Linked DNA regions of Notamacropus eugenii. The protein of the gene in region 2 purifies or fractionates together with the protein of the main gene of each other region. This does not show direct contact. Links are inferred from orthologs where the notes say so. Each region holds a gene or a part of one and is shown on either strand. Other genes may lie near its edges.

Region 1 (7,607 bases), on a different chromosome or scaffold from region 2:
TACTGATATATGATCACTCTCCACAAATGTTTAAGATATTTGTTTAATATCAATATATGACACTTATATAAAGATTTAAAGTTTGCAAAGTGATTTACACGTTGTCTCATTTCAGACCCAAAATAATCCTGTGAGGTATGTACATCTCTTACTCTTTCCACTTTGTATTTGAAGAAGCCATGGTTCAGAAAGGTTAACTGATTTGGACCGTCACACACCTAATAAGTATAAGAGGCAGGGTTTTAATCCAAGTGAAGCCTCTATCCATGAAGCCATATTACTTCTTAACAGATTTCAATCAAGTCAAAAAATACTCATTAGGTGCTATGCTGCAGGATGCTGAGCAGTGGGGATACAGAGACAGAGGCAAAAACAGTCTCTACCCTCAAGGAGCAAGGACTCCTAATGATGGGAGATAACATGCAAACAACTATATACAAAATGGAGAAAATCTGAGAGGAAAAACACTAATATTCAGGACAACTGGGAAAGAAAGTTATCTTGTAGAAGGTGGGGTTTAACAGACATGAAGTAAGCTAGGGAAGATAAGGGAGCAAAATGTCATTTCATCTACCTTACCCTTACACCCATTTCCCTCCTCTGTTTTTCTAGCATACTCCTAAACACTTTTATTTCTCTAGTAAAGGGAAATTTATGGGGAGGAAAAAGTAATTTCAACATGCCACAGTGCTATTTCAACGGAAATTAAGCATTGCTGTATTCTCAAAACAAAACTTAAATGCTTTAAACTGTATAGGAAGATGAAATCTCTGGTCTATTGCTGAAAGGACATTGTGTTCAGTTTTTTCCCCTAACTGGATCAATTAAGACAGACGAAAGATGAGCTACAGGTAGGAAAGATGAAATGTTACAATCTGTCCAATCCAGGATCAAGAAAGAGAGCTTGAACGTAAGGCAGTGGGGTTTCCCAGAAGGAGCCCTGGGCTGAATCAGGAATCCCGAAATTGAAAATCCCTGCAGTGACACTTCCTGGCTCAGGTGGCAAAGCATCTAATCTCCCTAAACCCCAGGTATCCGACTTGTAAGACGTAGGGGATGTATTCTTGCATCAGTCACAGCAGGGTTGCAAGAGAAGTCTTTGGCAAACCCCGCGGCTTACTTAGTACTGAACGGTGGTCACTATTAGGAGGCAGTACTTGTTTGGATAAAGATGGGTAAGGAGAGCGAACTGAAGATCAAGGCCTGCTGGGGAATCGGAGGGAATGAAGAGAGAGGAAGACAGGGGAGGGATAAATAGGATGAGGAGAGACAGAGAGAAAAGAGAATAGAAAGGACGATAAGTATGGGGTGGGGAAAGTGTGTGTGTGTGTGTGTGTGTGTGTGTGTGTGTGTGTGTGTGTGTGTGACAGACCAGCCCCCCCAGAGCAGCCTCCACCGCTCCCCACCCCTCCCCCGAGGGCACGGGCGGACGACCAGAGGGCGGAGGAGCGATGAGGGACGCAGCTTCCACCGGCCCAAGGCCGTCTCGCTCTCGTTCGGGCCCCGGCCTCGGCTCTGCTGCAGTCCCCGCTCACCCGCGGCCCAGCCCCGGCACATAGCCAAGGGGCGCGGGCATTCCCAAGAACGGCTTCTTCTTCTTGTTCATGGTGTCTGCTGGTAGCGGGAAAGCCGGGGATCTCCGGGGAAGCCAAGGGGGACACCCCAAAGTACTCCTCCGAGACTGAGATGTCGCAGAACCTCGGACCTGAGGAGGAGGAAGTACGTCACCCGAAACCCGGAAGTGTAGAACGTCTCCGTTGCGACGCCCCACCCCTCCTCTTCCTCTCTGGAGGTTGACAGGAAGCACTTTTTCCCTAGCCTTCCGGCCCGACGGTGTCAAAACAGCGAGGGCCCTAAGTGGTAGGTGTCTACGCATGCGTAGGAGATCCGTTCTGGGGAGGTCGCCGGGAGCGTGGGAATGTGGGAGCGCCTTTTGTGCACATGCGCGCAGGTACACAGCTTCTCCCCCTCCCCGCATAAAGCTGCCCACGCTCTTCCTACCTGGCTCCGCCCACGGATACGATACACGTAACGTAAAGACACAAAGCTCCCAGCTCGTGAACACGGACGCACGAAAACACAATTCAGTTCGTTCAAGAAGCTTTGATTTAGCACTTGCTAAAATTGCCAGGTATTCTGCTAGGACCTGTAGATAGAGTGACAAAAATGAAATCATGCGTACCGTCAAGTCAAGTGGCTTCCGTGCCACCCTGGGGAAAGTGACAGGCTAATAAATACAGAATAATTCAGGGGGTGGCACCGAGGAACCAGAAAAGTCCGTGGTCAGGGCATTAGCCTGGAGCCGAGATACGGAAATAGCGAAGGAGCCCAAAAAGCAAAGGTGAGGGGAGAAGTCTCCAGTGCACAAAGGCAAGGAGAGGAGACAGGCTTCAGAGGAATGACCAGTAGGTCAGTGTGGCTGAAAGGCAGGATTGTAAGTCTGAGAAGAGGCTTTGGAAGGACTCTGCAGACTAAAGGAAGGAGATTGTATTTTACCCAAGACTGACTATGAATGAAAGGGAAGGATGTGAGAGATGTGAAGGTTAGACCAATAACATTTAGCAGTTCATTGGATATAGGGGTTAAGGAAGACCTGAGGGTCAAGGATGATGCCCAACATAGTTTGGAAACCTGATTGAAAGGATTGTGGTGCCTTCATGGAAGTTAAGAAGAAGGGTGGGCTTAAGGAGGATTGTGAAATTCTGTTGTGAACATGTTGAGTATGAGATGCCTACAGGGCATCCAGGCAAGGCAAATATGTCCAGCAGGGAGTTGGTGATGTAAGATTGGAACTGAAGAAAGAGATGTAGGCTAGATATGTAGATTGGGCAGACATTCAGAGATGACATTTGAATCCATGAGAAGCTGATGAGATCACCTACAAGAGGGGCTTTTAACCTGGGAACTAAGAGCTTGGGTTTTTAGAAATATTTTGATTATAACTTCACTATAATTTTTTTACTTTGCAATTGTATGTATTATATTTTATACATTAAAAAAAATTATTCTGAGATTGGATCTGTAGCTTCACCAGACTGCCAAAAATGTCCCTCCCCCCCCAAAAAAGTTAAGAATATTTGACTTTGGCACAGAAATGAAGATGGTACATGGTACCTTGAGGTGGGGTTCAGGGGTGCAGGGGAGAGTACATGGACAGTGATCCAGCAAAGGAGATTGAGAAGAATCTGTCATACAAATTGGAAAAGAAATGAGAGTACATAATAATAGTTAACATTATATAGCACTTTTATGTATCAGGCACTATTGTGTTACAATTATTATCTTATATAATACAACAACCATGAGCTTCTGGCAGGAGGAATGAGGAGAATTTTGTTGTTGTTCAGTTATTGTAGTCATGTCCAACTCTTCCAGACCCCATTTGGAGTTTTCTTGACAAAGACAATGGAGTGGTTTGCCATTTCTTTGTCTAGTTCATTTTACAAATGAGGAAACTGAGGCAAACGGGTTCAGCACATGCCTAGGATCACCCAGCTAGTAAGTATCTGCGGTCAGATTTGAACTCAGGAAGGTATAGCTTCCTGACAGAAAGCATGGCAATCTGTGCGCCATAGCGCCACCTAGCCACCCTGCTTTTCATATGCAACTGTGCTGTTCAAGCATCTGAACTTTCCAAAGATGTGGAATGTTAATTTTGCATTTAAAGACTTTACCATACATTTTTCTGTATTTTTACCCATCCTTACCTTTCAGCTTTGCTAAAGTCTCACTGGGGCACACAACTATACCTCTGTTGAGGAGTCTTGTATAATTTTGAGTTATGTCCCTACTCTCAAGAAGCTTATAATCTAAGGGGGAGACAACATGCAAAGAAATACATACAAAGCAAGCTCTGTTACAGGAAAAATAGGAAATGGCTAATAGAGGGGAGGCCCTGGAGATAAGAAAGGTTAGGAAAGGTTTCCTGTAGAAGGTGAGATTTTAACTGAGACTTAAAGAAAGCCAGAGAACTTAGTAGTTAGAGTGAAGGAAGAACATTCCAGGCATGGAGGACAGCTGAGAAAATGCCCAGAACTGAGAGATGGAGTGTCATCTTCATGGAACAGCTAGGAGGCCAATGTCACAGGATTGAAGAATATGTACTGGGAAATAAAGTGTAAGAAGACTGGAAAGATAGGAGAGGGCTAAATTATAAAGGGCTTTGAATGCTGAACAGAACATTTTGTACCAAAGACCTTTCCAAGCCATCTCTCAGTTGTGTACTTGTTCTTTTATCTCCTTTAAATTTCACTTTATCCCGGTGTGGTTCTGGGGTTCTGATAGCCAGGACTCTTCTAGACAGGTTAACATGTCCCTTCCCATACACACCAGCTTCTAATTTATCCCCTTCTCAGGGTTCCCCAGCTCTTGTAGCCACTGCTAGATGGATCCTATGACATAGAGATCTTCTGCTCCTGTCCTGAGACATTCAGGAGTGGAAGGAAGACTAGAGTGAGGTCATTCAGTATGGTCTAATTGATGTCTCAGCCACCAGACCTCAGAACCAGTAGAAGGGAAAGAGAAAATGATCAGAATGGAGGGGCAACATCCCCTGAGTCAAACTTCCCCCATACTTCCTTATATTCCACATTCCTGCTCATATACACATGAGTATCTCTATACCTACCAGCATGCTACCATTTTCTCCTTATAACTCCTTGGCCCAGACTTGTGGCAAGTATATGACCTACATAACTATCAATCCACTCATCTGGAAGAGACTTGTCCAAGATCACACAGGAAATGCCCCAGGTGCCTTGTTAGGTACCCTGCTCTGATAGCCCCTTCTGAGGGAAGAAGTTGGAGGGCCTGAAACTATGAACTCTTCTACTAATACCATCATCACCACCCCATACACATCACCCAGGGGTATAGGAGTAAATGCTTAAAAACCGGCTCTCTGGAAAAATGGACATATGGCAAACTAATAAGTTTACTCTTCATCTAACAATTTCTCCATCACTTCCTTAAGTCTAGACAATCAACAAAGCAATAGCTCAAACCCTGATTTGTAACACTGACTAATTTCTGAGGTGAAATACACACAGAGAAAATTTAACATTTAGCTCTCTCTTTGAGAGGTTTGAGCTGACTCTAGCATATTCCTAGTATTCACTCCTCAAACTCACAGGAGTCCCTCCCACAGGGCCAATTTGTGGAAGTGGGAAGGGCTGAACGTTCATTAACTTTAGGACCTGTCAGTCATCAACTCTTCTCTGTTTTCCCTGGCAAAAAATTGGCCTCAGAAACTTGTGGGCATGTTTAGGCAACAAAAAGGGAGACCGTCACTTCCTGGCTGTGGGAGCGTGTAGGTGTGGCAGCAGCCCCTCAGGGTAAAGCCACAGGGACATAGAATAGGAATGAGACTACGGTAAAAAAAAAAAAAAATAAGACTAAAATGTATAGAGCCAGAACCCTAGAAAGAGAGAGGGTCTTCCAAGAGAGACCAAGCTACTCCACCAGGATAAAGAGATCTCTCCCTCTTCCTGGGAGGAAGCCCTGGGATCAGATAAGGAAGGGCTGCTCTCCCAAGGCTTCTAAAACAGGATTGAGGCAAAAGTTGAGGATGCAAATAGAAAATAGAGAATGGAGTCCCTAAAATTTGCCAACCAAACCTTTCTGAATTCAGAGATTTAGATACTACATATTCTGAAGATCATAGTCACATGTTATTTTGTTTTATCATTGACTTAACAAACCTTCTTTTGAAATATTTAGACCTTCTCTTTGCAGCATAGGGTTTACAGCAGCAATTCTCAGGAGGGTCCATGGAGTCAAAACTATTTTTATAATTATATGAAGACATTTTAATTTCTAATACAATAAATATCACATAACTCCACGTGAACCAAAGTTCTTTGGGATGGCCTCAATCATTTCTAGGAGTTACTGTAAAGAGACCCAGAAATTTGAGAAACTATGGTACATGGGGTATCTATACTTAGACCAAGGAAACTTGAAGGATCTTCACCTCCTTGGAGGTTTATATTGTGGCTGGTTTACCTTCCTGCCTTGGACCTTCCCTCACAGAACTTCCCTAGGAGTCTGACTATGAAATTCTAATTTACCTAGAATTAGGTATAAGTGAGATATAGACAACATTATTCTCCCAAAAACAATCAGAGTTCGTGGTGCTGTGTGAAGTGAGCACTGTGCATAGTAACAGCAATACTGTTCAATGACCAACATTGATAGACTTAGATCTTTTCAGCAATACAAGGGTCTAAGACATTCCAAAAGATTCATAATGGACAATGCTGTCCACATCCAGAGGAAGAACTATGGAGTCTGAATGCGGATCAAAGCATACTATTTTCTCTTTTTTGTTCTTTCTTGTGGTTTTTCCCTTTTGTTCTGATTCCTCCTTTAACACCATGACTTATGTGGAAATATCTCTAATAAGACTGTACATGTATAGCCTACATCGGATTGCTTGCCATCTTGGGAAGGGGGAGAGGGAGAAAAAAATTTGGAACTCAAGCTCTTATAAAAGTGAATGTTGAAAACTGTCCACATATAATTGGAAAAAATAAAATAATATTAAGTGGGGAAAAAAAATCACAGAGTTCACTCAGAGCTGGACTATATCTACGGTTGACAGGACTACTCTTCAATTTTGGGGGGTTTTATCCAAAGGAAGGATAGTTCCTTCGTGCCCAGGACATCTGAGATATCTTGAAGACGAGGGAGTATCATGAATTTCCAAAGTCCATGAGGAAAATCTCAGCCTCACTGAATTCAAAGATTCAAAGGAAGCACAAGGACTACCTCATTTTTATATTTATATCCCCTGTGCTTACAGTGCTTGGCATATAGGCATGTAATAAACACCCATTAATTGACTGATTGATGAGTCACCTTTTTAGTTCTGCCTGAAACAGTGAGACAATCCATACTTTTAAGGACTTTACATCCCCTTTAGATCTTCAGATTCAGAGAATCTAGGATACCCCTTGGGGAATGGTGGCTTGACACCCAGCTCCTATCCGCCTTAAGATATCTCAATTGTCCTGAGCACCTGGAAACTTACTTTCTTTTGACAAAAACTACCTGAGTTCAGTCTCTACCTCCTCATTTCCCTCAGCCAGAGTATTGTCCTTAAATCTTGTATGGAAGGAAACTGCGCCTGATTTGGAAATCTGATCACCTATACCTCTCCTCGGAGAAGTAACATTCCAAGGCAGAATTCTTACCCTTGGGCTTGGAAGAACCAGGAAGAAATAGGGAGCTAGGTTGAAGGATAGAGGCTTAACTTATTTGCCCCAAACCATACAACTCAGCATCAGTAATGAGGACTCAATTAAAAGCAGATTTTTTGACTTCATCTAATATTCATTTCACTATACATATACATCACTTTCTTCTTTTCTAGAGACCCAGTTGGATTACCAGAGTTGTATGGGCTGGAGAGAGAAGAGGAGCTCATATTTCTATAGCACATTAAGGGTTTACAGAGTGCTTCCTTCACACTGACCCTGTAGAGGAGTTAGTTCAACTGCACATTATATGACCCTCAATAAACTCCAGTGGCTCCCTATTTTCTCCAGGAACAAATACAAAATGCTGTTTATCATTCAAAACCCTTCATAACCTAACCCCCTTATACC
Region 2 (7,891 bases):
TCTCTCTCTTATTTTTAATATGGCTAGTATGGAAATCTTTTGCATGATTTCATATATATAACTGATATATTACTTGCCTTCTCAGTGGGTAGGAGAGGGGATGGGAGGGAGAAAAAGAATTTGGAACTCAAAATTTGAAAAAGAAGGAACATTAAAAATAAATAAATAACAAATCTGAAAAAGATAAATAAAATTTCAAAATATCACACCTCCTGAAAAATTTCCATCAAAAATCCTGAAAAGGTTAGAGGAAAGAATAAAATAAAGTACTTCACATTCTCTATTCTGGCAGTTAAGTGGCACAGAGAATAAAACACTATTCCTGGAGTCAGGAAGACCTGAGTTCAAACACTAAGACACTAGCACCTCACACGCTAAGCTGTGTGACTCTGGGTAAATCATGTGACTTGCTTACCTCAGTTTCCGCAACTGTAAAATGGAGATGGCAATAGCACCTACCTCTCAGAGGCGTTGTGAGGATAAAATAAGATAATATTGATAAAGTGCTTTGCTAACCTTAAAGGTATATGTAAATGCCAGCTATTATTCTCAGTGACACAAAATTTCATATCCTCCAAATAAAAGGGGGAGCGGGGGTGGGTAAAACTTTATTTTAAAGTAGTCTTACCTCATCAAGATCTTTGGCTTCTCTACCCAATTCATCATCATCTTCATCAGAATCTAGCTCTGGTCCAATATAATTCCCAAACTCATCATAGAGGTCTGTGTCCATGATGCTAAATATCCATGGGGAAGAAAACAAAAAAATATAAGTAATCTGTGGGCAGGCAAAGAAGAGAAGGGTGAATATATGTTCCCTCTCCTGACCATGACTGACTACCTTTAAACTAGCTTCCATTTCAGTGTAAAATGAACAGTACCCAGAACTGTTTATTTTTTGCTCCTCCTGAGTTCTGTTATGCTAGCTGCAGAGCAAAATAAAATCCTATGCTATATGTTCCTTAAAGATCAATTAATAAAACTTCCTGTATATTTTTGTACTACTTGTACTATTTCTCCCACAGATGCTTCCAAGCTTTCCACTCCAAGAAACACCAACCAAGTATCTACTGCTTTCTAAGATAAACCCATTTGATATAAATCCTGTGAAGTTTAAGTGTACAATCTGGTTCTCTAGAATTTTTACACTTTCAAAATACTTTAAGATTTGTTCTCATTTGATTCAAACATGTAAACTCCATGAGGACCAGAAGGGATTCATTTATGTTTTGTATCTCTCCAGCAAACGAAAAGTGACTTTCACATGAAAAGTACTTAATAAATACTTCTTGAATTGTATATACTGTCAGTGTTGGTTAGTTGGTTAATTTTACTCAACGACTTTTTTTCTTCTTTGACAGGAGGAATGGTTAGGTGAATAACAAAGGAAGTGTAGGCAATGTAAAAAAAAAAAAGATATCAATAACAAAAATTTAAAACAAACATTTGTTGAATCAACTTCCAGCGAAGCCATAAACATGCCTGTGTTTCCCTTACTAAGCTTCTACTCCAGTGCCCCAATGTGATAAGGTGACACTGGTGTTACAAGTCAATCCTGGCGGAACTACATTAGCTCAGGCAGGTCCTAGACAGGCTAGAAAATTTTCTTGTACTAAGCGCAGTTCAAGGATTAGATTAATTGAATATTCATTACCAGAAGGTATCTTATATAGTAAATCGCCAAACCATGACCTATTTTTGTTATTTTTTAGTTAAGGTAACCAAACCATGACCTATTCTTTTGTTTTTGTTTTTTTAGCTAGGATGACTTGAGAAGTTTTCTTCCAAAGTGTGCCAGGATGTAAATATGGTGCACATATGCATGATAAAACATATCTTCTAGTATTAAGGGCCCAGCACTGTGTAGAGGGCATCCCAAAAGCTTTACTACAGTTTAAAACTATTGAAACTTAAAGGTCCTACTCAGCAGCAAGCACCCTTCTAACAGGACTTGGATTCGCTGCTCTGACGCTTATTAGTGAAACAAGCTGGGTGGCCCAGTGCAGTTGGGAAGATCTGAGTTCAAATCCACACCAGATTTACTAGCTGTGGATGACCCTGGGTAAGTCACAGCCTCTGTCAGCCTCATTCTCCTTATCTGTAAAATGGAGATAATATCAGCGTCTACCTCGGAGGACCGCGGTGAAGAACAAACGCGCTAACGTACGTAAAGTGATTTACAAATCTTAACGTGCTTTATCAACGTCCGCTATGATGAGGATGGCGATGACGTCACTTAGCTTCTCAGGACCTCATCCGTCACCTAAGGATAAAGCACCTGGGCCTTCTGAGTGATGGGGGAGTACAGGGGAAGGTAGCGGTGTATAAACCTTAAAGCACCTGACAAAATGTGTATTATTGCTCATTGAACTCAACAAACACAGTGTCTCCTAAGGGCCATGTGCTGGGGATAGAAAAGGAGGAAGGAAAAAACCACAAAGAACAAGTCCCTGCTCGCAAGGAGCTTCCACTCCACTAAGGGACACGCAGAAGTTAGGAAACTTGCCCACGGTCACGACCGGGCCCATCAGTGACACGCCGGCCCTCCCCACCACGACCAGGCCCGGCCCCCTCATCCCCCCTTCTGGTGGGACCCGAGCAGAGGCCGGGCCTGCCCCAAGGCCTCAGTGCCCTCCTTTGTAAGATGAGGTTTTCTTTTAAGGTCCACCCCTTCCACATCTGCCAGCCTCGGACCCCATCCGATCGAGTTCACGCCCCGACTTCGGGGCCGCCGACTCCTCACCTGCAGCTCTAAATCCCAACGCCGATACCGCGCTCTCTCCGTCCGAAGATGGGCCGGCGCCTGCGACGCTCGCTAGGAAGGACCCCGCGCGACGTCGAGGCCACGCCCCTTTCCTCCGCCGCCTGCTACTCTGCCTGAGGTGCCGGAGTAGGATAGAGCCATTCCGGGCTGAAGGGGCGGTTTGGGGGAACCCTGCGACGCGCCGGACAGGAAAGCGTGACGGCCCAGGCGACGTTAGCGAGCAAGCGCGGCCTTCATTTTATCAGGCATCACTAGGGCAGCTCGAACGGGGAGAGGCCCGATCACGTGGGCTGCTTGAGTGAGACTGTTGCTAGGCAACTGTTTCCGCTTGGCTGTAGCCTGAGCCCCCTGTTAGGCAGGAGAACCATGAGGATTTTTCTTGAGTTGAGGGGGTTAGAGGGTAGCGACGGCTGACCAGGAGCTAGGGTAGGTTCGCCTTCTGCTCTACTAGTTCTCAGGGCAGTTGGAATTGGGTCGGGCACAGGATGCCTGGGCTCTGCGTGGTCTGTTTACAGGGTGGGGGCGTGTGTGTGTGTGTGTGTGTGTGTGTGTGTGTGTGTGTGTGTGTGTGTGTGTGTGTGTGTGTGTGTGTGTGTGTGTGTGTGTGTCTGTGTCTGTGTGTGTGTGTGTGTCTGTGTCTGTGTGTGTGTGTCTGTGTGTGTCTGTGTCTGTGTCTGTGTGTCTGTGTGTCTGTGTGTCTGTGTGTTCTCTGGGTCTCAGGGTCCTCCTCCAGTGGGAGACTTGGACAGGATAAGCTCTGAAGCACCCTTCCAAAGAGGGGCTTGGACCACATGGGTTTTGGAGGGGTTTTACAGATCTTAATCTGTTAGGGTTTGTGGAGAGCAAATGGCCACAACAGTTTTGAGCCTTCAGGGTAGCTCCATCCTCCCAGAGGTGCAGGGAGCCAGTTTGCATTGAGACCTGAGAAGGAAAGGGCAGAAGGGACTGGCTGCAAAGGTATCCAAATCAAGTAGAAGAAAAAATTTCCCTTCATCCATTTTTCTGTCATAGTTCAATTCGGGGAATGTTTATGAAATGTCTAATTTGTGCAAGACACGAGTCTCTAGGCATTGGTTTTTCACTAGTCCACATCTACCCCTGCTGCTACAGGTGTCCACTGAGTTGGAACCATGTGATACAAGCGACTCCAGAAGAGAGCAAGACCACAAGGTCAAGAAGCATTCATCCTAACCAATTCTTTCAGATACTCTTATGTCTCCTTCTAGCTCAGTTATTACAATTGAAGAGGCTGGAAAGAGTCATCCACTCCCTTAGAAAATTCAGCAACCTTTGTGTGGTTCTACTCCCTCCCCAACACTACATCTGTCTTGGATGTACAGGACTTGAAATTTATCCTAGGCTCAAAAGGAGCTATAGTCACATCTGCTGTGTGACTGCGTGACCATATGTCCTTCATTCACTCCAAGCGAGTTCTTAGGAAGTTCTCTAAAGTCTGAATTCTAAGGTGCCTCCCAATTTCAAATGGCTTTTTAAACCACCTTTTCAATAAAGAGACTAACAGTACATGTGCCAATTTAGTCTTTAGTCAAGAAGCAAGTCTAGATGGGAATATGAACTTAGAAGTCCTCGGCAGTAGATGGAATACTGGACTTGGAATCAGGGTAGTCTGAGTTTGATACTGCTTCAGATATATGCTACATGTGTGACCCTGGACAAGTTACTTGCTTCTCTGAGTCTCAGTTTTGTCATCCATAAAATGGGGATGATAATAGTATCTACCTCACAGTATTGTTGTGGGATATGTAGGTGTAATTACAAACCTTAAAGAATTACATAAATGTTGTCCATTGTTCCCAGTGAAACAATGGTGTTATGTGGGATCTTGGACCATTGCTACATATCTTAGATCCTTTCTTTTTTAAAATGGGGAGACAACTTTTGTACTTTCTCTTTGAGATGAGTGATAATTTGGACAAAGTGCTTTAATCTTTTTAGAATGGCAAAGAGTTATCATGATATACAGTAGCTTCTTTCCCTGGTAATGTCTCATTGCTGGACTTCACCCTCTTTTTCACTCCCAGGTTCCAGACATGGAAAAGACTGATACCATTGACTTTAGGGCTCTGGAGAAGGAGTTGCAGGCTGCACTAGCTGCTGATGAGAAATACCAAAGAGAGAATGCTGCCAAGTTCCGGGCTGTGGAACAGAAGGTGGCCTCCTATGAAGAGTTCAGGTTGGCTTACACAACTTTACCCCAGAGCTGTCCTAACTATATTCCATGGCCCAGTTAGCTTAAATAGTTATAGCACCATGTTTATGCAGCTGAAGTTACAGGGTTCAGGAACCATTAGGGCAGCAGCTCCATACCTCCACACCCAGCCTGGGGAGTCTTCCCTCAAATACTGTCTCCTTTGCCCACAGGGACATTGTCCTTGCCTCACACCTGAAGCCTTTAGAGCGGAAGGACAAGATGAATATCAAGAAGACAGTGCCTTGGAACTGTCAGGTGACAAGTACCACTGCTCAGACAGGCATCACTCAGGAGGAGAGCACTTATATCTCCCAGGTGAAATAGCCATTCTATAGTCCATTGGGGAACCCTAACCTTTACTTGTAATGCTTCTTTTTCTTAATTAACAAAACTTTTACAGAGCTGTAACTAGCGGAAACTGCCTTTAGACTAAATCCAATCCAATCATTCCATAAACATTTATTAAGCATCTACTGTGTACTGGGCACTGAGCTAAGTGCTGGGAGTCTGGGGACTGCAGGGGGGGGTCAGTGTCCCAGAGGACAGTCTGCTAAGCACACGTAGTACAAAGTCCTACTCGTACGTGCTGTCATACTTAAAGGGGATGGCCCATCTTTCAAGAATTCCAAGGAGGCATTTGTACCCTAGGCATCCTGAGGACTTCAAGGAAAGGACATCTCTGGGGAGGAGGCATGCAAGCCCCACCACGTCATCACCTTGGGGAAAAGCTCCATTCCCCTTACACTCAAGAAATCCCATTCATTCAGGTTTAGGGTACACAGACTCCAGGCTGTGACAAGTACAGGGTACAGAACCATCTCAAAATTTGGATAAAGAGACAGGTTAGTCAGATCTCAGCCAATCAGAGCAGTCTCTTAGATTCTGTGACCTTGGCCAGGATCTCTGTACTCTATAGAGAGGAAGTGCCGAACTCAAATAGAAATAGATCCCTGCAGGGCTAGATATTGACTTAGAGAAACCACAAATTAACATTATCTATGTTATATCATATTTTCCCAGTTCAACCACTGTTTATAGAGCTGTAACTAGCAGAAACTGCACCAAATTCTGTTGAGGGAGTAGAAGGACGATATGGGCTCACTGATCCAGAGAACATTCTGCTAAGGACATGAAGTATGAAGTGCAGTCCCATTGTATGTACAGTCACTATGGTTTGGATGAGGAGATGGGATCTGTCAGCTCTCAGCCAATCAGATCTACCTCTAGGATTCTGAGACCTGTGGCCTACCTCCCTTCCCATCTTAGAATATGCTGTATCCACATTTTGTAAATTTCCATTATATGATGCTAAATCATGTTGTTATTTTAACACCCTAGTCCCCAAGATCCCACTTGTGCCTGACAATGGGAAGTTTTAAAAAGCCTATTTTATATGAGGAAGTTGAGGCCCACAAAGGGTCATGTTTTTCCTGAGATGAAGACTGAGTCAGTAGAAAAGCTAGGAATAGAGCTTGCAAGTATTGACTCCTTAGTGTCTTGAGGACATAACTCTTTTTACTTTTCCCTTTGACCTAGAAGGGAGATTGTCAGCCTGAGACATCTTCAGATTTCTATAGGGCTTGGCGCCGCTACCTCCAGAATGGACCAGAACGCTATCAGACCCTGTTACAGCTTGGGGCCCCCAACTTGGGCCACCTTTTCCGAGTAGATGTGGGTTTTGGACTCCTCGGTGAACTGCTGGTGACATTGGCAGAGAATTTTAAGCCAGCTGACCGTGCTGCTGTACTGGAGATCCTTCATAGCCTATCCAGAACTGGCCGATTTGGCCTCAACCTGAGCCTGCTGAGCAGTGCTGAAAGAGAGAGCTGCCAAAAATTGTTTCAGAAACTCCAAAGTATGTATGTTACCAGACCCACAGAGGAAGAACTGATCTGTAAGGAGCAAGAGCTAGAGAAATCACACGGTAGGAATGATGAGGATGAGAAACTCCTCCAGGAGCTGTCAGAGCTATACCAAATTGGCTAGAGATCTTGTCTTGTTCAGGACAAACAGCAAACCTGACTAGCTCCTGGAGATTTGTTTTTCCTAGAAAGTCCTTAATGTTGTTGGCCATCTTGTTGCCTAACTCCAAACATTTTCTTTTAACCTTGTCCCTCAAGAACTGCAGCAAAAGTTTGGTTTCACTCATCCTAACCTTAAATGGGTCTCTTTAAATCTATATGACTTCAAACAGCCAAAGGCTCTTATGAGAGCACTGGGAAATTGTGACACATTTGGCTTCTCATCCTTAAAACCTGCTAAGAATGGCCTCCTGTCCCTAAGATTAAGGTCCTTTACCCTAGTGCTTATCATCAACCCATGCAAGCAGAATTTTAAAATCTGTGATTAGTTATGTCCATTAATATCTACAAGGATCTACCCCAGGCCAATAAAGATAGTTTATTGACAGACTTTGACACCTTCTTGGGGTGGGGGAACACCATTTTTTCCCTAGAATTGAGTTTTTCTGAGTTAGTGTATGGAGAATTACCAGCAAATGATTTGTCAAGCTACCCAGGTTTTGAAGGGTGGTTCACAATTGTCAGACTATAGACATACTTCTCCAGGATTTATGAAAGAGAAAAACTGCTCCCAAAGAGATAAAGTGAACACTATAAGAGAAAAGCTATCAACAAGCATTTATGAAATATCTGCTATATTCCAGGCACTAGACATACAATATAAGAAATGAAACAAAGGAGTTTACATTCCATCAAAAAGACAAATTCTATATAAGCAGGTAGTTAGGGAGGGCAGTATGAGTTAAGGGGATCAGGAAAGGCTTTGTGGAGAAGGTGGTTGAAGTTTGAGGTTTTATAAGACAGAGTTGCAAAGGAAGCACATTCTGGGCATAGGGAGAGGCAATTACAAAGGCACAAAGAGGAGAGGTAGTAGTGCCAGGTGTGAAAAATTTG
Region 3 (7,003 bases), about 240 Mb from region 2:
AGTTCACAAGAGAACCAGGACTAGGACCTAGTTTTCCTGACTCTCAGATCTTTACACTACACTCTTAATTCCTGTTCTTAACTAAATTCAAAGAACTACCACACTTCCCCTATTACCATTAAGTACACATTAAGTTTTTCCAAGGTTCCCTTTGCTGACTTGCACATACCATCTGGCCTTGCACTGCTTTGCTGATTTCCTATGCAACAGTGAAGCAATCCGAGACCACTGGTTCTTTCCATATTTCATTACCGCTGCTTTGAGAATTTCATCCTAAGAAAATGAACAAGAAAAAGATTTAACAAACAAAAATTATTTTTCACCAGAAAGAATCAATCTAGCTTAGTTCTGATAAGGTTTCTGTAGTCTTCCAAGCAAGGTTAGGGAACACCCCTTCCTGTCCCCCTCCAAAAAGAGGATGGGAAATTGTGCAGCTGTAAGAGACCTTAAAAAGTTATGTGATTCAATGGTTTCACTCCATCAATGAAGAAACTGAGGCCAACGGAAGTAAGGTGATTCCCAAAGCAGCCTGGCTGACACCTGACAGATCTGGTACTAACTCATCTGACTCTTCCATTGAGTCCCTTTCCACTATACCATGACAGACAGAAAGCTGGACATGTAGTCCCAAAGGCTGTTTTGAATTCTACCACTGATATTCACTCCCTTAATATTGACAAGAAACTTGACTTCTCTACATTTCATTTTCTTCAATGGTAAAACAGGGATAACTAATATAGTACCCACCTCACAGAGGAGTAAATATATATGTAAACTACTGGGCAAACTTGAAAACATTATGTAAAGTTTACCTACTGCTATTATTACACTGGCTTAATATCTCTATAGGAGGCTTGGGCCTGGAAATTCATGGGTAAATCTAGGTCTATCTTCAAAGAGTGTTGACAGTACATTAATTGTCAAAAAATTGTCAAAATTGTCAAAAAACATTTAAATAAAGGAGGGTCACTGGTCCAAGGAGTGCCCCTCCAGGGCGCCCGCCCCCCCAGAGGGAGCCCCAGGAATCAATGCCTATGGAACTGTGCACATGTGACCAGAAGGGACATTGGAGGAAAGATTGTCCCCAAGGTTGGAAAAGTGGTGCAGCCTCCCCCAGTAACTAGTCTTCTCAAGACTTCGTGTTTTTGTCCTTCATTGTCGAAGAGGACCATGGCATCAGAGAAATGATGACATGACTTGCACTTGACTTTGTTTTGAGTGAGGGAGGGCTGTGCAGGTCACCAGCCTCACTTTTCCTCCAGAGCCATCTGAATCCAGTACCAGATATTCATCAGGATGACTGCAGATGGCCCAGGATGCAATGGGAGACCTTGGCCTTTTTAGGCTAGGCCTTTTCAGGTACTCACTTAGAAGGAGGTAACACCCATTGAGTTGAATAGGCCTCTTCCAGAAGTAATCAGGGAATGGCCCTTTTAATGAACCAATGAAAAAAATAAGTAAATCAAACTGGGAGGGAAAAAGAAACTGTTACTATTGATAATCACTCTAAGCCAGCCATTAAGCGGAGCTTGGGCAAGGACCTATAGTTGTCCAACTTCAGAGTGCACTGGGTTTAAGGTTTTGGGAAAAGAAAGGAAAGAAAGAAGGAAGATCACTGAAGAACTAAAAAAGTACAGAAAAAAGGACAAAGAACCTTCTCCAGAAGGTTCAGAGGTTAGATATAAAGGAACAAGACAGCTCTGAAACTAACAAACTGAATTTATTCTATTCTTTTAAAAACAAGCAATATTTTTATTTTTATACGTAATCTTTTTTCTATTTGTTGAATATGGAAGGTCACATTTATGGGTGTTTGTAAAGTTCAGAGTAACAAAAAATAGAAATTACTGAAGCATGAAAAAAGGGTATCATTTGGAAGGAGGATTAGATGTGTTCAGAGAACAGAATCCAGTACAATCAGTGGAAGTACAAGAAGCAGCTAGATGGCACAATACGTAGAATGCTGCACTTAGAGTCAGGAAGACCTAAATTCAAAACCTGCCTCACACGTTTAATATTCACGGGACCCTGTCTGCCTTAGTTTCTTCATCTGTTTGATGCGAATAATAACAGTACCTTCCTCCCAGAGGGGTGGTGAGGATCCCAGGAGATTTGTAAAGCACTTTGCAGACCCTATAACGGTGTATAAAGGCTAGCTATTATTGTATCATTATTATTATTTCTGAGTCGGCAGAAAACCAATTTTGATTTGGCCCAAGGAAAAACTCCCTAGAAACGAGACCCATCCGAAAGGACCACTCTTGATTCCGTAAACGGCTCCCTGGAGGAGGTGTGCCAACTGGGCTTTAGAGGATAAAGGGAAGTGCAGCATTCTGGGGCAGATAGGAACGGCATTCCAGCCCCGAGGGGCAGTAGGAGCCAAAGCACCGGGGGCGGGAGAATGGAGCGCTGCCCACCGGCCCAGCCTTGCCCGCATCACAGAGTGCGTGGAATGCATGAGAGAAGCCTGGAAAGGCAGGGGGTGGCGCCAAATTAAAGCGCAGGTGGAGGGCGAGGAAAAGCACCCGGGGGCCAGGTCCGCTCCAACTTTACGTACTCCAGGATTCTAACCCCCTACTCCCCGCCCCCATAACTGCTCTACCATCAGATGGCGCATGCGCACACACCACCGCAGGGGGCCAGGGAGAGTGACAGGAAGACGACGCTCACCTCCGTATTCCTCCATACGCCCCCCTTGATCATAATCCGAGGCATCTTGGCGGAAGGGTGAGTGATTCGGCAAATAGCCGAGACGATCGGGCGAACACTGAAATGGCGTAGCGGCCTCCGAACCCAAAGCCGACCCTTCTTCCCAGCACGACCTTCGGCTTCCGAATGCTGTGCGCAGGCGCAGAGAGAAGGTTAGTCACGCGAGATTACCGGGTCGCGGGGAGTAACCCAAACTAGATAGCTAGATTCCCGGTCAAAGCGCCCGGCCTCGCTTGTAGTGGCACGCATGCGCATAAAAAGCTGACAGCTGCGTCTTCGTTCCCGGGTCGATCTGCGGCTGCGTCGATGGTGGGAGGCGGGGATAGAGAGGAGTGGGAGCTCATAGCGCCACCTGAGGGTCGGAGGTGTGTCACACACGGGAACAGTTCTATGGCTGGTGGTTTTGCCTTGCGCGTGGACGGGTAACTCTAAATTCCTAAGTTAAAAGCTTTGGACGGGAACTAGGGAATTCGATTCCATTCCATTCCATAAGTATTTATTAGGCGTCTGTAATATGAATGACTGAACTAGGCTAGAAATTCAAAGACGGAAAGAAAAGAAAGGACACCATTCCTGCCCCCTAGGACCTTATATAGTCTCCTGGGGGAACAATACTAATAAGTAATTATCATAAAGCAGGTGTAGACGGCCAGGTGTGACTTAGGACCGTACACTGGGAGCTGGAAGGGACTTTAGACGTGATTCCCCCACGTGCCTCTCCCCCCCCCAGCCCCAACACCCCGTACTGAAGGATTCATTGCCTTTCCCAGTTGGCATGGGAGTGTGGGGAGTGGGAGGTGGGAGACGGCTATTTTCTGTTGCTTTAGGAGAGGTTAAGAATTTTTCTGCAAGGTGTTTTTCCCCCTGTTCTATTTTGTTCATATGCTTCAATTAACTGCTTTATTATTTTATTTTTTATGTTTTGCCTGGTCAGTGAGTGGAATCTCAGTCAACCAATACACATTTGTTGTTTCTAGAATACAGATATTTGTTCTTATGATTGTGTACTGTCATTATTTATCGTTATATGTGATTTATTTTTATAAATACTAGGATAGACTATTTAGTATTTATAAACTACAAAAAAGAGGCAAAAGGCAGTTTCCGCACCTGGAGCTCACCATCTACTAGAGACAACAAGGAAACAAATACGTACAAACAAGGTATATATAGGGAAAAGAGGAAATAATTAAAAATGGGAAGACATTAAAATTAGAGGAATTAGGAAAGGCTTTCTGTAAAAGATAAGAATCCACGCTGGATTGAGGTTGGAACCAAGTATATAATTCTCTTCACCTTGGCATAGCATAGGTGACCTTCAGGGTGACTTGGAGGAGAACTGACACAACTACAGAACGCTTAGCTTGAGATGGAACTGAGTTACGTCATACCACCAGCATCCATAAATACAACTGGTTGGCAGAAAACAGCCAAAAAAGAGGACAGATTTGTCAGCATTTCTCTACAAATCTATTTTCATCATCAGTGACAAAGGCACCGCTGAATTCCAACCCTAAGTCTTCAGTCCCAATACGCCACATGAAGAAGTTGAATGGCACTTCAAAAGAAAAGGCTAGGAATAGTAGCTGACCCAGATATGATACATCCGGAGTGCCATTCCCATTAGAAGAGAATGGGAAGAAATGCCTTTCACAACTACGGCTTAGTGAAAAAGTCTTAACCAAACAAGGGATAGAAATGATCATAAAACAGATCACTTAAATTACCTAAAATTTAAAAGCTTTTGCAGAAACAAAATTAATACAGCTGGAATAAGATGTGAAATTATCACGAAGATAAGGAGAAAAAAGGGACAAAGAATTAGAAATTGAGGCAATGCCCATCAATTGGGGAATGGCTGAACAAGCTGTGTTATGTGATTATGACAGAATAGTTGTATTATAAGAAATGATGAGCAGAATGCTCTCAAAATAACCTGGAAAGATTTGCATGAGCTGATGCAAAGTGGAATGTACTGTGTACAAAGTAACAGCAATATTGTAAGATGATCAGCTGTGAATGACTTAACTATTCTCCGCAATACAATGATCAACTCTGATACAATGATACAACTCTGAAGGACTTAACGATGAAAAATGTTATCCATCCCTGAAAAAAGAACTGATGGTTTCTGAACACAGGTTGAAGCATACCTTTTTACTTTATTTTTCTTGAGTGTTTTTGTCTATATTTTCTTTTACAGCATGACTATTATAGATATCTTTTGCATGACTACACCCGTATAACCTATATTGAACTGCTTGCCTTCTCATTGGGAGGTGTGGGTGGGGAGGAAGGGAGAGGATTTGGAACTCAAGTTTTAAAAATGAATATTTAAAATTGTTTTCACATGTAATTGGGAGAATATAAAAAGATTTTTTAAAAGACTTCCAGATTTTTAAAAAAAGAGGAAGAAAAAACTGCATCAAATATTTACAATAAAATTGTTAAACCCAAGATATGTAGGGAACAGACCCAAAATATGCTACCAAGATCCATTACCCAAGAGATGAGTGGGCAAAGGATATAAACAAAAGAAGAAATGCAAACTATCAAGAATTAGGTGAAAGAATGATCCAAGTAACTAATAATGAGAAATGCAAATTAAATAACTCTGAAACTTGCTCTATATCCCCTCAAAATTACAGTTACATAAGATGGGAATAGTTAATGTTGGAAGCAATGCAGGAGCACCATCACACTAATATAGCAACAACAATAACAACAAAGTCATGAAATTATTCCTACTTTTGCCCGAGGCAATTCCAACATGGTTGGGTCCCAAGGAGTTCAAAGACAGAAAGCAAGGTCCCACATATACCAAAATATTCTTGGCAACTCTTTGTGGTAGAAAAAAAATGAGAAACTAGAAAAAAGATGCCCATTGACTAAAGAAAAACTGAACTGGTTATGGCATATGAATGCAATGGAAAGCTATTGAACTGTAAGAAGATAGGAATATGAGGAATTCAGAAAAATGAGAAAACTTGTATGAGCTGATACAAAGTAGAGTGTAAGTATAAAGTAGTGAAGTAGGTAATTCTAGGGGAGGGTACAACTAATTGCCCTGATCCTCAGAAGCAGTAAGGAGGACCCAAGTACGTATTTGGTGTCAGTCATCCACTAGCTTCATCTTCTACCTTATACAAGTATCCCAAAGTTTTATTGTGCTTCGGAGATGCTGCGTTTTGTTTTTCAAATTGGAGATTTGTGGCAATCCTGTGTCAAGCAAGTCTGTCAATGCCATTTTTCCAGTAGCACGTAGCTCACATCATGTCTCTTTGTCACATTGTGGTAATTCTTGCAATATTCCAAACTTTTTCATTATTATTGTAGAATCATTATAATAACTCTGTGTTCTGTGAAAACCGTCTACAACTTCAGTGGGCCATGACCACCAGCATCAGCTTAAACTCTGTAGGGTTTTTTGCCTGAACCAAAAATCAATCCTCAACCCAGAATTTTAGAGTGAAAAATGTTAACAGCAATGGCTTATAATATTGGCCTGGCATACTTTGAACTAACCTAATAATAACAATTGTGAATCTAAACTGGTAGAGCTGCTTATATATTTCCTAATACTGTTAATATAAAATAAAGTGCATGCTTATGCTGTGAAATTTGCTAATATCAACATAGTTAGAAAAATTACTTCTCTTGCAATCTGGATACTGCTAGGTTGTTAGGTTATAAACCCAGTTGTTAAAGAGTTGTCCAAAAACTGCTATTTTTGTTCAGTGTGTTTTATTTCATTACAATTATAATAGGGGGCAGAGCCAAGATGGCAGAGTAAAAGCAAGATTATATTATAGTTTTAAAATATTTCTTCCTTGTTTTATCTGATAAGATATTTAAAACTTATTATTTGACACAGTTATAAGTTTTTTTTTCAGCCTTGCTGGTGATATGGTCTAAGTTCTATAATGTTTAAACCTGAGAGCTTCGAGATTCAGAGGTGGAAGGGCTAATTAGTTTCACACCTACCTCGAAGGGGAAAGTTTACAAATCAGCTGACATAAAGGACCTAAGTTCCACTTAAATTTATTTAGCTGTATTAAAGGTACATTTAAATTTAGTAACAAATTATCTTCTGGAATTATGGATATATCCACCAGGTGATTTTTAAAAGTGCCCTTCAGCCAGCATTAGCAGGCCTTTCATTATTAGGACAGAGAGGAAGGGTAACCTCAGGGATTTTAACCCAACCTTTTAACCCATCCCATAACTTACTGCTCTGCCTGAGATGACTGCTGCTACCAGGCCCCTTATCTTGGACAACTCCAGAATGTGATTA

What was found. Proteins that work in one complex are often made in the same cells at the same time.
Region 1: the proteins of EFTUD2 (region 2) and PRPF6 purify together in Homo sapiens (affinity purification with mass spectrometry; 6 studies listed by BioGRID and IntAct, with this or other methods). This does not show direct contact. The link is inferred for Notamacropus eugenii from reciprocal best matches to the Homo sapiens genes EFTUD2 and PRPF6.
Region 3: the proteins of EFTUD2 (region 2) and CDC5L purify together in Homo sapiens (affinity purification with mass spectrometry; 6 studies listed by BioGRID and IntAct, with this or other methods). This does not show direct contact. The link is inferred for Notamacropus eugenii from reciprocal best matches to the Homo sapiens genes EFTUD2 and CDC5L.

What each region holds. Positions count from the first base shown.
Region 1 is NC_092872.1:496,238,654-496,246,260, forward strand, and holds the start of PRPF6 (pre-mRNA-processing factor 6), read right to left. Parts: upstream 3,004-7,607; 5' UTR 2,177-3,003; coding exon 1,536-2,176; intron 1-1,535. UniProt on the Homo sapiens protein: Involved in pre-mRNA splicing as component of the U4/U6-U5 tri-snRNP complex, one of the building blocks of the spliceosome.
Region 2 is NC_092873.1:349,015,987-349,023,877, reverse strand, and holds the start of EFTUD2 (116 kDa U5 small nuclear ribonucleoprotein component), read right to left. Parts: upstream 3,004-7,891; 5' UTR 2,744-3,003; intron 738-2,743; 5' UTR 734-737; coding exon 629-733; intron 1-628. Other genes in the region: DNAAF19 (dynein axonemal assembly factor 19), read left to right, coding at 4,816-4,958, 5,147-5,291, 6,513-6,962. UniProt on the Homo sapiens protein: Required for pre-mRNA splicing as component of the spliceosome, including pre-catalytic, catalytic and post-catalytic spliceosomal complexes. Component of the U5 snRNP and the U4/U6-U5 tri-snRNP complex, a building block of the spliceosome.
Region 3 is NC_092873.1:107,878,734-107,885,736, reverse strand, and holds the start of CDC5L (cell division cycle 5-like protein), read right to left. Parts: upstream 3,004-7,003; 5' UTR 2,716-3,003; coding exon 2,671-2,715; intron 274-2,670; coding exon 170-273; intron 1-169.